2 linked regions of the Lytechinus pictus genome follow. The protein of the gene in region 2 interacts with the protein of the main gene of each other region in a pairwise test. Links are inferred from orthologs where the notes say so. Each region holds a gene or a part of one and is shown on either strand. Other genes may lie near its edges.

What was found.
Region 1: the proteins of RNA helicase aquarius-like (region 2) and zinc finger protein 830-like interact in a two-hybrid assay, tested with the Homo sapiens proteins (2 studies listed by BioGRID and IntAct, with this or other methods). The link is inferred for Lytechinus pictus from reciprocal best matches to the Homo sapiens genes AQR and ZNF830.

The regions. Positions count from the first base shown.
Region 1 is NC_087247.1:42,395,295-42,403,288, reverse strand, and holds the start of zinc finger protein 830-like, read right to left. Parts: upstream 3,008-7,994; 5' UTR 2,964-3,007; coding exon 2,857-2,963; intron 1,134-2,856; coding exon 1,034-1,133; intron 1-1,033.
Region 2 is NC_087251.1:14,776,666-14,784,668, forward strand, and holds the start of RNA helicase aquarius-like, read right to left. Parts: upstream 3,190-8,003; 5' UTR 3,188-3,189; coding exon 3,056-3,187; intron 2,472-3,055; coding exon 2,431-2,471; intron 1,564-2,430; coding exon 1,482-1,563; intron 1-1,481.

The sequences.
Region 1 (7,994 bases), on a different chromosome or scaffold from region 2:
TTTTGGAGTTATGATGGTAATTCAACACGTACCCCCAACATGGCCAAAGTTCATTGACCTTTGACCTTGGTCATGTGACCTGAAACTCGCACAGGATGTTCAGTGATAATTGATTACTCTTTATGTCCAAGTTTCATGAATCAGATCCATAAACTTTCAAAGTTATGATGGTAATTCAACAGATACCCTCAACATGGCCAAAGTTCATTGACCTTTGACCTTAGTCATGTGACCTGAAACCCGCACAGGATGTTCAGTGATACTTGATTACTCTTATGTCCAAGTTTCATGAATCAGATCCATAAACTTTCAGTTATGATGGTAATTCAGCAAATACCCCCCAACTTGGCCACAGTTCAATGACCTTAAATGACCTTTGACCTTGATCATGTGAACTGAAACTCACACATGATATTCAGTGACACTTGATTACTCTTATGTCCAAGTTTCATGAATCAGATCCATAAACTATAAAAGATAAGATGGTAATTCAACAGATAACCCCAACTTGGCTAAAGTTCATTGACCCTAAATGACGTTTGACCTTGGTCATGTGACTTAAAACTCTGGCAAATGTTCAGTAATATTTGATCAGCCTTATGTCTAAGTTCCATGAACTAGGTCCATATACTTTCTAAGTTATGCTGTCATAACAAGAACTTAACCTTTGGTTAAGTTTTGGTGTTGACGCCGTCGCCATAAAAAAAGTGGTGCCTATAGTCTCACACTGCTATGCAGGTGAGACAAAAAGGAATCAGTTTGAACTTATATTAAAGAGCACACTGACTGCAACTATGTTCATGAAACTTTATGCATATAAAAGAGGAATTGTTTCTTGACTAATGAATCATGAAAAGCCTCAAGTAAAAAAAAAAGAGAGAATGATGAATAATCCTGTCATGGGGTGAAAAAACAAATTATTTGTAATTATAATCAAGAAAAAATAGTGAAGGTGATGATACAAAATAGAAAGGAGATGGGGAAGAAAAAGGAGGTGGAGAAATACAAATTATGTAGAATATATATTACTTACATCTTTATGTTTCTTTCCTTGAATATGAGCTGTCCACAGTATTTCATTCTTCACCTGCTGATTACAAACTACACAGATTAACTGACCAAGGTTGTTATACGTATGTCAGTGTTAAGGAATTATTTAGTTCTTAACAAAACATTAAGTTTGACCTTTATCAGATATCCAGAACAAAATAAACAAAAACTCGCAAGCTATGACCATTTCAATCACAAAATAGCATTACAACTGCAACTCTGTAGTCTGTTCAAAACATTGATTTTTCACAATAATTTTACAACTGGATCCCCTGAATTGTGTCTTAGTGAATGCCTGGATGTAATTCCATAAATCGAAATTGTAATTGCCAAGATCTTTCTTCTATTTCTGTCATATTCATTGACAATGATAATATTATTTTGATCATCCCATAACTATCATCTCTTATAATACCCCAAATTATATCACAATATCATGGTCCCTAGTAAACGTGATGAAAACTTGCAGGAGTAACTGTTCCTAACTTTTAAATTATTAATTTGAAATAAAACTAAATTTTGCAACTTTCTTTGCACTAAGACTAAGTAACATGACCAACAATATTTACATTTACTACTCTATCATTTTATCCATCCATCAAGATCAACTAGACCTGGGTAGGGGTTTCATAAAGCTGATCAATTGTGAATTTATACAAAAGAAAATAGATTTAGAGGATCTAAATTTTTGTGTTTTGACCAGACAGGTATCAGATAGAAACTTTCTCTAGATTATTCGGACAGTAAAATAATAATAAAAAGAGACTGGGCCGGGCTGGGCTAAGACTAAGTAAATAAATATTTGCTTAGCCTTGAGTTGCACTGGCCGATTTAAATTTTATGGCAGCTGAACACAACAAGGAATTTGGCAATACGATGCATGCCTTTCTCGAGTAAAACAAAAATAGCAGCGAATTCACCAAGTTAAGACTAATACTAGACCCTAAACTAATATTAATAGTCAAACCTAAACTAGGGAGTTCGGTGAAAATGCCACTTTCAGAATTTGTATCTGTCTGTGCACCCATGTACAAAACAAATATGAAGCCATTAAATTTAAAGGAGGAGGAAAAACCCTATAGAAACCTATACCATGAGAAACTTTGAAGTTTAATGAATAAAATGATGTATAATTCAAGGGAATGCCTTGCCCCGCAAAGCAGCGCATTGCACTTTTTAAAAAAGTATTGCACAGTCCCATTCATTGCATTTTGTGTAAGTTATGAAAATCTACTTTTTGCTGTAAATAAAATCTGCACATTCTACCGTTTAAACAGAAATATCTCTGTCAATATTTGTCATCATGAGTCGATTTATGCACCATTCTTTTTCTTATTTCACAAGCATTCCATTGGTACCAAATTTGTTGGGATTCCTTCAAGATTTCAAAAAGCAACTGTCTCCCCCACTCAAACAAGCCTTTAAAAAAAATTTGACAGAACAAAATCTGCATATTTTCCCCTGTAAATTGGAATATCTCCGTCAATATATCAGACAATGAGTTAAATGAAGCACCATTATTTTTCTTATTTCACAAGCTTTCCAATGATATCAAATTTGTTGGGATTCTTCAAGATTTTAAAAAAATCACCGAACTCCCTACCTATACTAATAGTAATACTAACCTCGCAATACGTGTGAGTGTCCCTACCTAAACCGTTTTGAGTAAACGCCAATCAAATGACCAACGTAAACTTAATAACATGGGACTACAATAATTCAAGACAGTAAAATAACTCGAGGCTTTAGCTCTGACAATGGCCGAATTTATTAATTTCTTGCCTGAAATACTATTTTAAAGGATATTTTGCTAATGGTGATTCAATTCTCTTGACACTGCTTTGCTTTGCAGCCTTTTGCTGTCTCATTAACTCCCGAAGATCTACCTTCTTTTTCCCACTGGAGGCTGCCATTTTGTCTACGAACGGTGCGGTAACGTCAAGGGCGCCAGCATAAGTCCAAAGTTAGAACGGAGGAAAAAATATGCGGAGAGAGCTAGCAGGGGGTTAATACACAAAATTTGGTGTTCAATTTTCACATTTCTGTACATGGCTGCTCTCGTACTGTAAAATGCTATTTTCCCACTCCCCGTTCAGCGGCCCCTGTAAGGCTAACTTTGGATTTTTTGTATAAGGATCAATTGGATCAAAGCATATTATTTTACGTTAGTAGGATGGGGGGTCGGGTGTCCGGACACTTTATATTTTTGAAGCCTTCTTTTTTGTCTTTGGATTACACTAAAAATACGAAATCAATAGTTGTAATCATCTTCTATTTGGTTCTTTATAATATTTCCTGACATTTTGTACTAAAAATTGATAAAACTTCCCTTGTAAATTGTTCCAAATGACTTTCTAAAATTGATCGTCCGGACACACAACAACTATGAGGCGCCGAATGTACCAATATTATATAGAACAATTATTTGTTATATAATCATTATTTATTAAATAATAACTATTATTTATATATAATTTACATTTTATTTGTAAATAACTACTATTATATAAAATATCATTTCTAATTATTTATATATAATTCCAAGTAATACTTCATTATTTGTAAATAATAATAGTTCGACATTCCATTATTTATAAATAATGATTATTTGTTTTTCATTATTTATAAATAATGATTATTTGTTTTTCATTATTTATAAATAATGATTATTTGTTTTTCATTATTTATAAATAATGATAATTGGTTTTTCATTATTTATAAATAATGATTATTTGTTTTTCATTATTTACAAATAATGATTATTTGTTTTTCATTATTTATAAATAATGATTATTTGTTTTTCATTATTTATAAATAATTTGTTGAGTTTTCTATTATTTATAAATAATGATTATTTGTTAAATAATGAAAACGTCTACTTCATTATTTATAAATAATTTTTTCGAGTGCACCATTATTCTCATTATTTATAAATAATCATTATTTAATGTTCGAGTTTTCCATTATTTATAAATAAAGATTATTTGTTAAATAATGAAATATCTACTTCATTATTTATAAATAATAATTTTGTTTCAATATCCCATTAATCATTATTTATAAACAATTTTTACAGTTTGCCATTATATACAAATAATCATTATTTATATACAAATAACCATTATTTATTAAATAATGCCATTATTTATTAAATAATGCCATTATTTATTAAATAATGCCATTATTTATTAAATAATGGAAAACTCGCTATATAACATGCAAATGTGGGACCGCCCATGATATGAATATTCATGATGTGATTTCCTTTTTCGTGATTTTTCTTCACAAATTTTTGTCCATTTCCTCTTCATAATGACATTTCTTGAAGCAATTTTCTAGGGATATGGTCTGATTGTAATATTCTTCATTTTCTATATAACTTCGTCTTCGTAGAAATATCAAAAAGTGTAATTTTATACGATTTTTCCTACAGTTCACAATCCCCATAGGCGCGCGTGTACGGTAGGGACAACCGGTGAATCGACGGAGTGCTCTTCATCGAAATACTACGTTGGTTGGTCCCCGGAAGTGGCGGGCGGAATTTAGCCCGAATCCTCGATGGAAGTCGATCAAGTGCATATGAGCTGAGAGAGTGAAATATCAGTGTACTTGTACAGGCCCTTCTACTTTTTATAAATATTTCTTGTTGCTTTTTTTGTTAAGTTAATTTTTCCTGGTGTAGAGATAAGTTTCAGTTCTAATAATGCACTTCAAATACATTTTGGAGTGTCTGTTTGAGGCGTTTGGGGCGATTTCACCCTGGCCCCAAAATGCTCGCAACGACAATACGGGGGCATGATGACCCCTAAATTTAAAAAAACTTATTTTTCTATTGAAAATTATCACAAAATTCACCAAAAGTGTGCACGAAAGCCTTCGTATTTCACTTTTAAAACTCCAAAAAGTGCCCAAATGACAAGCTTGGTCGCTTCGCTGTGTCGCTTTCAACTTGAGAACGTTTACGCGTCTGCTTCGATATATCCCCCCCCCCCTCCTCCGAAAGAAATTCTGTATACGGCCATTCTCTAAAGAGCCTGGCACATTGATTTATGTATACTTTCATTTTCATTATTTTTATCTCATTATCAACATGGCCTTACGCATGAGGGAGGCGCGATAGCTCAGTCGGTAGAGCGGGGGTTTCGGATTCCGGTGACCCGGGTTCGATTCCCAAGTGGTGCGCTAGTGCCCTTTGGTAAGGCATTTATCCTCATTACCAGGTCCCTCGGAGAGGACCTTAAGCCGTTGGTCCACTGGTTGCTTGCTCACAGGCATTCGTGCTTTCTTAGCAGTCAGGTAAAACAACCTCGGTATAACATAATTTTTTCCAGGGGGGCCGGGGCCGGAGCATGACGCGCGTAAACTTTCTCAAAAAAATCTTGAAAGCGAGACAGCCACGGGACCAAGCCCAAATGACAAGCTTAGTCGCTTCGCTGTCTCGCTTTCAACTTGAGAACGTTTACGCGCGTCTGCCCCCACCCCCCGAAAACAATTTTGTGAACGGCCATGCTCAAAAGAGCATATGGCACATTGATTTATATGTACTTTTCATTTTCATTATTTTTATCACATTATCATCATGGCCTTACACAGAATTTTTACCGGGGGGGGGGGGGGGAGCAGCTAGGACACGCGTAAAGTTTCTCAAAAAAATCTTGAAAGCGAGACAGCGACGCGACCAAGCTCAAATGACAAGCTTGGTCGCTTCGCTTTTTCAAGATTTTTATGAGAAAGTTTACGCGCGTACGTCATGCTCCGGCCCCGGCCCCCCTGGAAAAAATTATGCGTAAGGCCATGTTGATAATGAGATAAAAATAATGAAAATGAAAGTATACATAAATCAATGTGCCAGGCTCTTTAGAGCATGGCCGTATACAGAATTTCTTTCGGAGGAGGGGGGGGGGGGATATCGAAGCAGACGCGTAAACGTTCTCAAGTTGAAAGCGACACAGCGAAGCGACCAAGCTTGTCATTTGGGCACTTTTGGAGTTTTAAAAGTGAAATACGAAGGCTTTCGTGCACACTTTTGGTGAATTTTGTGATAATTTTCAATAGAAAAATAAGTTTTTTAAAATTTAGGGGTCATCATGCCCCCGTATTGTCGTTGCGAGCATTTTGGGGCCAGGGTGAAATCGCCCCAAACGCCTCAAACAGACACTCCAAAATGTATTTGAAGTGCATTATTAGAACTGAAACTTATCTCTACACCAGGAAAAATTAACTTAACAAAAAAAGCAACAAGAAATATTTATAAAAAGTAGAAGGGCCTGTACAAGTACACTGATATTTCACTCTCTCAGCTCATATGCACTTGATCGACTTCCATCGAGGATTCGGGCTAAATTCCGCCCGCCACTTCCGGGGACCAACCAACGTAGTATTTCGATGAAGAGCACTCCGTCGATTCACCGGTTGTCCCTACCGTACACGCGCGCCTATGGGGATTGTGAACTGTAGGAAAAATCGTATAAAATTACACTTTTTGATATTTCTACGAAGACGAAGTTATATAGAAAATGAAGAATATTACAATCAGACCATATCCCTAGAAAATTGCTTCAAGAAATGTCATTATGAAGAGGAAATGGACAAAAATTTGTGAAGAAAAATCACGAAAAAGGAAATCGCATCATGAATATTCATATCATGGGCGGTCCCACATTTGCATGTTATAGCGAGTTTTCCATTATTTAATAAATAATGGCATTATTTAATAAATAATGGCATTATTTAATAAATAATGGCATTATTTAATAAATAATGGTTATTTGTATATAAATAATGATTATTTGTATATAATGGCAAACTGTAAAAATTGTTTATAAATAATGATTAATGGGATATTGAAACAAAATTATTATTTATAAATAATGAAGTAGATATTTCATTATTTAACAAATAATCTTTATTTATAAATAATGGAAAACTCGAACATTAAATAATGATTATTTATAAATAATGAGAATAATGGTGCACTCGAAAAAATTATTTATAAATAATGAAGTAGACGTTTTCATTATTTAACAAATAATCATTATTTATAAATAATAGAAAACTCAACAAATTATTTATAAATAATGAAAAACAATCATTATTTATAAATAATGAAAAACAAATAATCATTATTTGTAAATAATGAAAAACAAATAATCATTATTTATAAATAATGAAAAACCAATTATCATTATTTATAAATAATGAAAAACAAATAATCATTATTTATAAATAATGAAAAACAAATAATCATTATTTATAAATAATGAAAAACAAATAATCATTATTTATAAATAATGGAATGTCGAACTATTATTATTTACAAATAATGAAGTATTACTTGGAATTATATATAAATAATTAGAAATGATATTTTATATAATAGTAGTTATTTACAAATAAAATGTAAATTATATATAAATAATAGTTATTATTTAATAAATAATGATTATATAACAAATAATTGTTCTATATAATATTGGTACATTCGGCGCCTCATAAACAACTGGGTATACTAGTTATTAAAGGAGAATGAAACTCTTGGAGCAATTAGTTAGCATTTGTGAAAGCAGAAAAATCAAAGAATAAGACCAACAAAATTTTGAGTAAAATAGGACTAGCAATAGAAGAGTTATGAGCATTTGAATGTCAAGATCACTAATGCTATGGAGATCCTCCAATTGGCAATGCGACCAAGATCTACGATGTCACAGATGAACAACTCTCCCCTTTTGGACGCTGAAAATATACCCCAAAACATCTCTTTTTGCTCATTCTAATCATGTGACAAACGATTCATCAATGATATAATGTTGTGAAACCTCTGTACTTGTCCTCTCATAAAGAGAACACCTCACCTTGTGATAGACTCTATAAAAGTGAGAATATAAGTGAAATAAGTACTAAAGTAATGAGGGAGTTTTACGTGCATGACATCACAGATCTTGGTC
Region 2 (8,003 bases):
TTCATTCTTTCTTCACTTTCATTTGCCTTCTTAATTTATAAGGTACATGCAAGAGGAGATACATGATGAGAGTGCAGTCTCTTTGGAATAGTATCAGAGCTGCCAACATTGGAAAGATAGAATCCAGTAGATTTCGCGGAGGTATGATTTTGTGAGGGAGCGGCGGAACGTTGTCCCACGGATGGGAGTTTTGGGTAGCAAAACACATTAAGAAACAACATTTGATAGTAACTGACAGCTGTCTAAACCATCAAAAAAAATTCTGATAGATTAAATGCACATTAGAGAGAATTCATGAATTGTCATTGACTAAATATACACTTCAGGCAACACAGTAGATTTTTTAAATAATTTATAAAAGAATGCATTCAACATGAAAATACCTTTAATTGGCCAGAGAGGGAAGGGGCTGCAGTAGTGGTAAACATGGTAAATGAGCTTTATATGTGGACTGTTTAAAGTCTCTGAGGGATTCCTGTGAAAATTGTCACACAGTCCCATTCCGCTTGAAAATTATCTTTATACTTCAAAACGTATTTTGTCGTCTTGGTCTTGGATGACTCCATCTCCATGATCTCCATGGTCACTGGCGATGCGATTGTAGTGTGGATAAATCGGGGCGGGGCGTGCTTCGCACAGCTCAGCCAGCCAGCACCAAGCTAGCTCACTCACGAAAGAGAAAATGTTCGTATCCGATCAACCCAAGTGAAAGTAGGCGAAAAAATCTCCACTTTGCTTCTGGTTCTTTAGGATTGTCAATAAAATTTTTCCTGAAACTGAAAGTCGGGGTGTAAAAGTAATCCACTTGTTAATCCCATCGTTGATCCACAGTTTCAGCTCGAATAAAGCGCACACAAGCTTACGAAAAATGCCTCTCAGTGCTCGTGAACTTCCCTTATCGTAGCTTCCTGGCGCAGCGCGGCCAGCTGGAGCCGCACCGGGGCGCATCGGGGGCCATGTGCATGGAGTACCGCTGAAGTGTTTTCATCACACACATTGCAGAACCCGGAAATAAAATGGCTTGTTAGAATACTTCACCAGTCGTTCAGTAAAATTATCTTCATTTACATTGGAAATCAATGTACGATTATACAAAAACTGGTAAAAGTTACTGGGTAAAATGAAAATGTGATAAGGAGGTTCCATGTGGGTGTTAGGGAGTTGAACATGCTAGACTCGTAAAACAGTCTTTTGTATGAATTTCGCAATTTAACAGCTAAAAATCCTGATTATCCAGGAGATTTTGGCATGAGGTCGGGAGAACGGGAGATTGGATCGCAATCCAGTATTCTCCCGCAGGATCCGGGAGACTTGGAAGCTCTGTAGTATGTACAACAATTCATTTTAGAGTTTTAATAAACCATTATTTGTGTAGAAAGGCCTTTAACGTATATTTGACACATCTCGGCAAGTAAAAAAAAATTCACACAGCATACTATTATTGTAAAAACAAGTTTTCATTTCCATCAATTGTGTCTTACCTTTTCAGAGTCATAGTTTGGCCATAAGTAGTTTTCAAGATATTGGCTGAACTCGAGCACCATGATACGACGCGCAGCAAACCTGCATGTAAACAAATGTTTAAACCATTAGAATTGTGCAAAGAAAATTGAGGGGGTACAAATAAATTGAGCATTCTACATCACACAGGTGACAACTTGTTTTTTATTGATCACACCTTTATAATTTTCTTATCATCTTCTAATTATTTTTATGTATATTCAATCAAACTCAGACGTCTCTTTAACACAACCAATACATGAGTAAGGTAAACCTTAAACACTACTTTTTTCACATCATTTGTTTTAAATGAGATTCAATTAAATTCATTTTATTTATTACATATATTGCAATTTCAAAACATATAACATTAAACACAGGTGGCAATTCAAGAAACTTGAGCGTTTTGAAGGTTCTCTCATACTGAAACAAAATAACATAACAAATAAAAAATACAAATTATACAAAGAACAAAATGATAGTAGACTAAGAAACAAATTAAAATTTAAAAAAATAACATGTACAAGAAACAGAAAGTGCATATATTAACAGAATAGGCAAGAAATTTTGAATATGCATTTTATAGTCAGTGTCAAAGGAATTACAGTTTTTATTTCAGTGCTTGGACAAGTGAAGTGGTAATTGGTTAAGACTTTTAACAATACTGAAAATAACAAAGATAATCAAAATTTTAATGGAACATTTTTTTCCAATTTGGGGCATTACAAGAAACTTTTAAATTGCAATCAATTGCAAGTGAAATCAGAAAAAAATCCATTTAAAATCTCAAAATCTATTATAAATCATGCAATCATTTACAATTATGTAATTGACTGCTTGTCTCCTTCATCCCTAAAATGCTATCATATCGCTTGTATCGCATTCTATTAACCTTTTAACAAAATTCCCTTAGTGTCATTTTGATCTTACTTGTTCTTCAAGAGTTCTTTCTTGTAAACATCTTCAATCACCTAGTGAATAAAAGAAAAGAATACATACATCTTGACATTTAAAATCAGAAGCATTTTCTTAAACATTTTGAAGGGTTTTCAAAGATATTCATTTTGCGAGAAGGGTTTGAAATTATTACAATATGAATGGAAAATTACAAAAATGGCATAAAAAGACTGTCCATACTGTCATTTATTTTACGTGAATAAAATAATCTTCAAGCACAAATAATATCTGAATCATTTAAGTATGAATACTCTTGCTGCTTTCAACTTATAAACAAACAGAACACCAATGATAGTCATTATGAGTTCATTTATTTACCTCTGTTTCTTCTCCTTTGTATGAATGTCCACTTCTTATAGGTAGGAATAATAGATTTCACTTGTTGTCTTCAGTTTACATCTCTTTATTAAAATCCAGTACCTTAATTTAGTTTATAATCTCAGGGAATGGGTGGTAAGAACCAATAAAATGTATCATACATCATTCCTGATTCATACACATTCTGGTACAATGGATTATTTTTATCAAAACAAAATGAAGAAGAGTTCTGCACAGCAATCATCTACTATTTTGGATTTATTTATCTCCATATGCCTACCTTTGGATCATAGGCCAAGTGTGGTGTAGGACTATTTGGAGCCCAAAATCGACTGCCAAGCTGTGTCAAAAAGTCTGCATTAAGCTGCTCCACTGTAGGAGCATAACTCTTCCTTTTCTGACTGCCACTCATCTGTAAAATACAATCAATACAGAAAAATAGGTAAAAAGTGAGTACATAAATTGTTTTTAATAACATTTAATATTGTTGGCAATTCTAGCCCATTATTCAAACCTTTAGTTTCATTCCACTAACCTCATTTTCCCCTCATTTTCAAAAATATTTTAAATGTTAGACACACAAGCCTTCATAAATTATATTGCCTGTTCTATACACACAAAAAAAAAGTCCCCCCTAAATCAAAATGCTATAACTTTTGAACAGAATAATTTTTGAGATATAATATTTCGTAGGTGGTTTTTAACACTCACTAAGCAACTCCTGGGGGAAAATGAGATTGATCGGTTGGGTCATACACGAGTAATCAAAGATTGAATTAAAAATGACAATTTTTTAAAGTCACAAGAGTCGTTTTTCAGATAGTGTTAATACAAAGTTGGGCAAAGGTTGTTTTTTGTGAATTTTATGGTGTTAACGTTGTTTTACTATCCATCATTTAGCCACTCCACACAAAATTTTGATAATGTATGTTCATGGTTGAGTGAGCACATTTTTTTTTCTCATAGGGGTTTATGGTAGTATCCTATGTAACTTGTTAAAACATGTTAAAATTGGAAAATGTAAGTGGCTCCCCTCCCCCAATTTCTCGGCACCTCCCCACTTTCAACTTCTGGATCCACCACTGATTGGTCTATAAATTCAAATGATCCTGAGAAATTGTTAGGAAAAGAATACATTTATGCAGTAAAAAGAGTATTAATTCCTAAGTTTTTGAGTGTGCTCGCTCAACCATGACAGTGTAAAATGTTCGGAAAGTGTGTGGTGATAAAAACAACACAAATTAAGTTACATTTGAAACCGAATTTGCCCCCATTATTCACTTTATAACCCCTCAAAATGTGTATGTGACATTAAAATAATGTCGCACCAACGCATAATGTCACAGATTGCGACTTTATGCCAAGAGCGTCCGACGCATGTCGCAGTCAACGCATAATGTCGTAGTTTTTCTAACGCATAACGTCACATGTCGCAACGCATAATGTCGCAGCAAAGTGTCAACGCATAATGTCACATGTCGCAACGCATAATGTCGCAGCGGTTTTTGCTTCAGGACCGTCGAGTTACAGATAAGATATAAAATATGATTTAACTCAGTATATTATTCAAATACTTTCATCTGAATATTTTGAAAAGTGTGTGCGAGGGTGTGTGAGTCAGTGTGGTGGAGGAATAAACAGTATATATACATGTATATATACAGTGCGTCCCACAAAAAACGAAACCGAGATTTATCATAACTTAATCACAAATACAATAGACAAATGACCTACCATTGTAAAGCTTAGAATCTCCTCTTTCATCTGGAATTACTTAGATTATTTCTCATTCACAAATGAGTGAGCAAAAACAATTTGAAGAGGGGATACCTAAAAGTCATTTGGCGGGCTGTATCTGGGTTTCAAAACGAAAACCCCATTTTTAAAAAGTTCAATATCTGCTCTTTAATTTGATACCTCTATTACAGAAAATGGTCAAGAAATAACAAAGTTCTGGTTATTTGAAATAAGGCTTGAATTTCAATAATTTCATAAAATGAAGAGGTTTTACAGGCTAGCGTTCAAACTCACTCGACACTCCGTTTTGTTGACGATCAGCCATGCATTAAGTCTTTTGTTAACCATGCGATAGCTTCTGTGGGGAAACCGGTGAAAACACGTTTATCTAATGAAATTATGGAAATACAAGCATAGTTTCGAGGGAACATAACTTTTTTACTTCTCGACCAACCAAAAAATTACTTTTTTTCTTTCCAGGGCTCTTTTTGGAGAAACTTAAAAATTTTCCAGGGCTACTTTTTTATTTTCCAGGGCTCTTTTTCCACTTTCCAGGGCTACAATTTCTGGAGCTATTTCGCGGCTTTTTTGCGTTTGTGTGTGTGTGTGTGTCTGTGTGTGTGTGTGTGTGTGTGTCACATTGAAGGGATGCTGGTCAGCAGTGCAGGGCTGCTCTGCTGCAGGCTCTGCTTTAACAAGATGTACTGTACATGCGGTGCGTTCAACGCTAGCGGGCGTGTATATTTTGCTTATTACATGACGTCATCCAGCCACTGCCGAGAGCCAATTTATGAATGAAAATATAGTAAGCATGCGCAGTGCAAGCCTTCCATAGCCCCACACAGTATTCCACCAAAACAAGTGTACAATACTCTATCACCTCGCACCAAAATCGACCTAGAATTTCACTTTCCTATAATTTATATGAATTATGAAAGGTATTCTCGGAGGATCTATTTTCTCACCGATACCGAACAGGTAAGCGAATTTCGATTACTTCTTGATTTTCGGTCAAAATCTTACGAATTAGCGTTGATATAGCATCGTGGAGTTTGTAGAGTCTATCGCAACGTGTACAAAGTCAATTGATTTCCGGGTTTCGGATCCGGAGCGTCGCGTGAATATGCATGAAATTGCCGAGTCTCGATAATTTTCGATCGATACTGGAGCGATCCGATCACGAACCAAGACCATTTCCCGCGTAGACAATGTGACCGGATATCGTTATCGCTATCGATACTTTCGCACGCAGTCCGAAGGAATTATTTTGGCGACCACGTAGTCATGACGTGATCTGCGCGATTGGCCAATCAGCGGTCTCCGATTCGCTGAGCCGAGACGGTCTATTCGTTGTACACAGTCTATGGACAATTTGCCACTGTGAAATATACAGTGTTGACGGGGGCGATTATGAGTTTTGCAGTCGCCCTCGTGTGAATGTTTTTAGTCCTTTTCTGGGGCTCTTTTTGGACTTTCCGGGGCGAATTCGCCCGCCGCCCCCGTGTAATTTTTTGGTTGTTCTCGACCATTTTTTGTGATAAAGGTATCAAATAAAAGAGCAGATATTGAACTTTTTTAGGCATGTGAATTTCTTTTTGAAATTCAGATACCCCCCGCCAAATGACTTTTTGGTATCCTTTCTTCAAATTGTTTTTGCTCACTCATGCGTAAATGAGGAATAATCAAAGTAATATCAGATGAAAAAGGAGATTGTCACTTGGTCTAATTCACATTGCCACTTCCCCCCATCCATTTTAAGGAGGGGGCGAAAAAGTATTTTAAAAAACAGAATGAGAAAATAAGACGAATGACTACGAACAAAGTATTAAAAAAATACATGATTTGATGGCTTTGTCACTTTTGGAATCCCCCAAACACCTTGGCCTCATTCCTCAAATATTTCATATCCTATAACAACATCAGTCTTGGACCTGAACCCTATCTACCCCCCCCCCCCCCCCCGAGCCTTTTTTTTTTTTTTATATCAAGGAGTTTGAAAATAGCAAAGAAGCAAGAAAAAAAAACAGAAGCAAAACAAAACAATACAAACCCCCTTCCAACCCAATGGCATGTGTCCCCCTACCCTCTACCCCTCACCATAACCCCCCCCCTCCCATGCCCTTCGTTGTCACAACTCTCCGTTCTACTCGTGTGGGGGAGGAAGTAACTTGTTCCTTCCTTCTATGAATGGTAAGAATGAAAAAATATATATATATATGTACATATATATATTTATGAAATATACTCTTATACCTTATAGCATTCATTAAAAAAAATTATTATTGTTATTATTATAAACAAATATCATTTATTTCATTTATTTTTTATTCTTATTTTATTTTTGCACTTATTTATCAATTATTTATTATTTTTTCTTTATTTATTAATTTATTTATTTCATTAATAAATTAATTAATTTATTTATTTTTTATTATTTTTCTTGCACAGTAGATTTATCAGACAGGCCTTTTCAGTCACTTTTATACCCATTTTGTTCCAAAAGCACGCAATCTAAATGTTTGCGCTCACTTTGCTCGCTCGCAAGTTCACTAAATATTTAGCGAGGAACACATTTCCCATTATTTCTGAGCATTCATCAGAAGGAAATACATAAATAATCGAGATATGCTTGAAAGGATTATATTTTACTTCTCAAAACATAATGAATCTTTATATTTGGGGTGCCCCCCAAACCCCAATTAAAGCCCTATTGGTATCACACTACCACATCCACGTGCGTACTCATTATGGAACCGGATTTACGTCACTGAGAAATGATTGCACAAGTACTCAAAGGAATTCGAAGATGGAGGCGGTCAAAGCTTTTTGCTCATAGTGACGATACGTAACATATTTTCTTCAGACTAATCATCCCTCAAAAGGTAAGAGTTTGTAAACTATTCTTATTGTGAATCTTTGTTACATTCAATACTGAATTCTTGCACTGTCATTCTTCTGTCATGTTGAATTTGCTCTTCTATATCACCTACACACAGTTTCTTTTTAGTCCAGGCCTTTGCACTAGACCTAGTATTGGATTAACGAAGATATCCCAGGGGGGCATTGCCATTACACCAATGACAGCATGCTTTGTACGACCTGTCCATATAGTAATAATGACACTAGAGGGCGTACTCTTACGATTGATGTTGGGAAAGTCAATGGGAGGTGCCATGGCTGGGTCTAACCCACACGGCGAATCACTCTAAAGTCCGGGTACGATCTACTGTCATGGCATTAAAAAAAAGGAATCAATGTCCTTTTATCATACACTGAAATAAATGAAAATGCTATAGGCATTATCAGTTACAACATGTGCACGTGTTTGTTTTTAAATCGTGTGTGAACGTGCGAGTGTCATGTGGAGAGTGTTTTATGAAAGGACATGTCAGAGGTTTTATCCAACAAGTCCGGAATTATTTGACAGTAACCAATGTAACTGTTGCTCACTGCCAATCTGAAAATGTTGATGAAACGCTCCCCCAGATAGA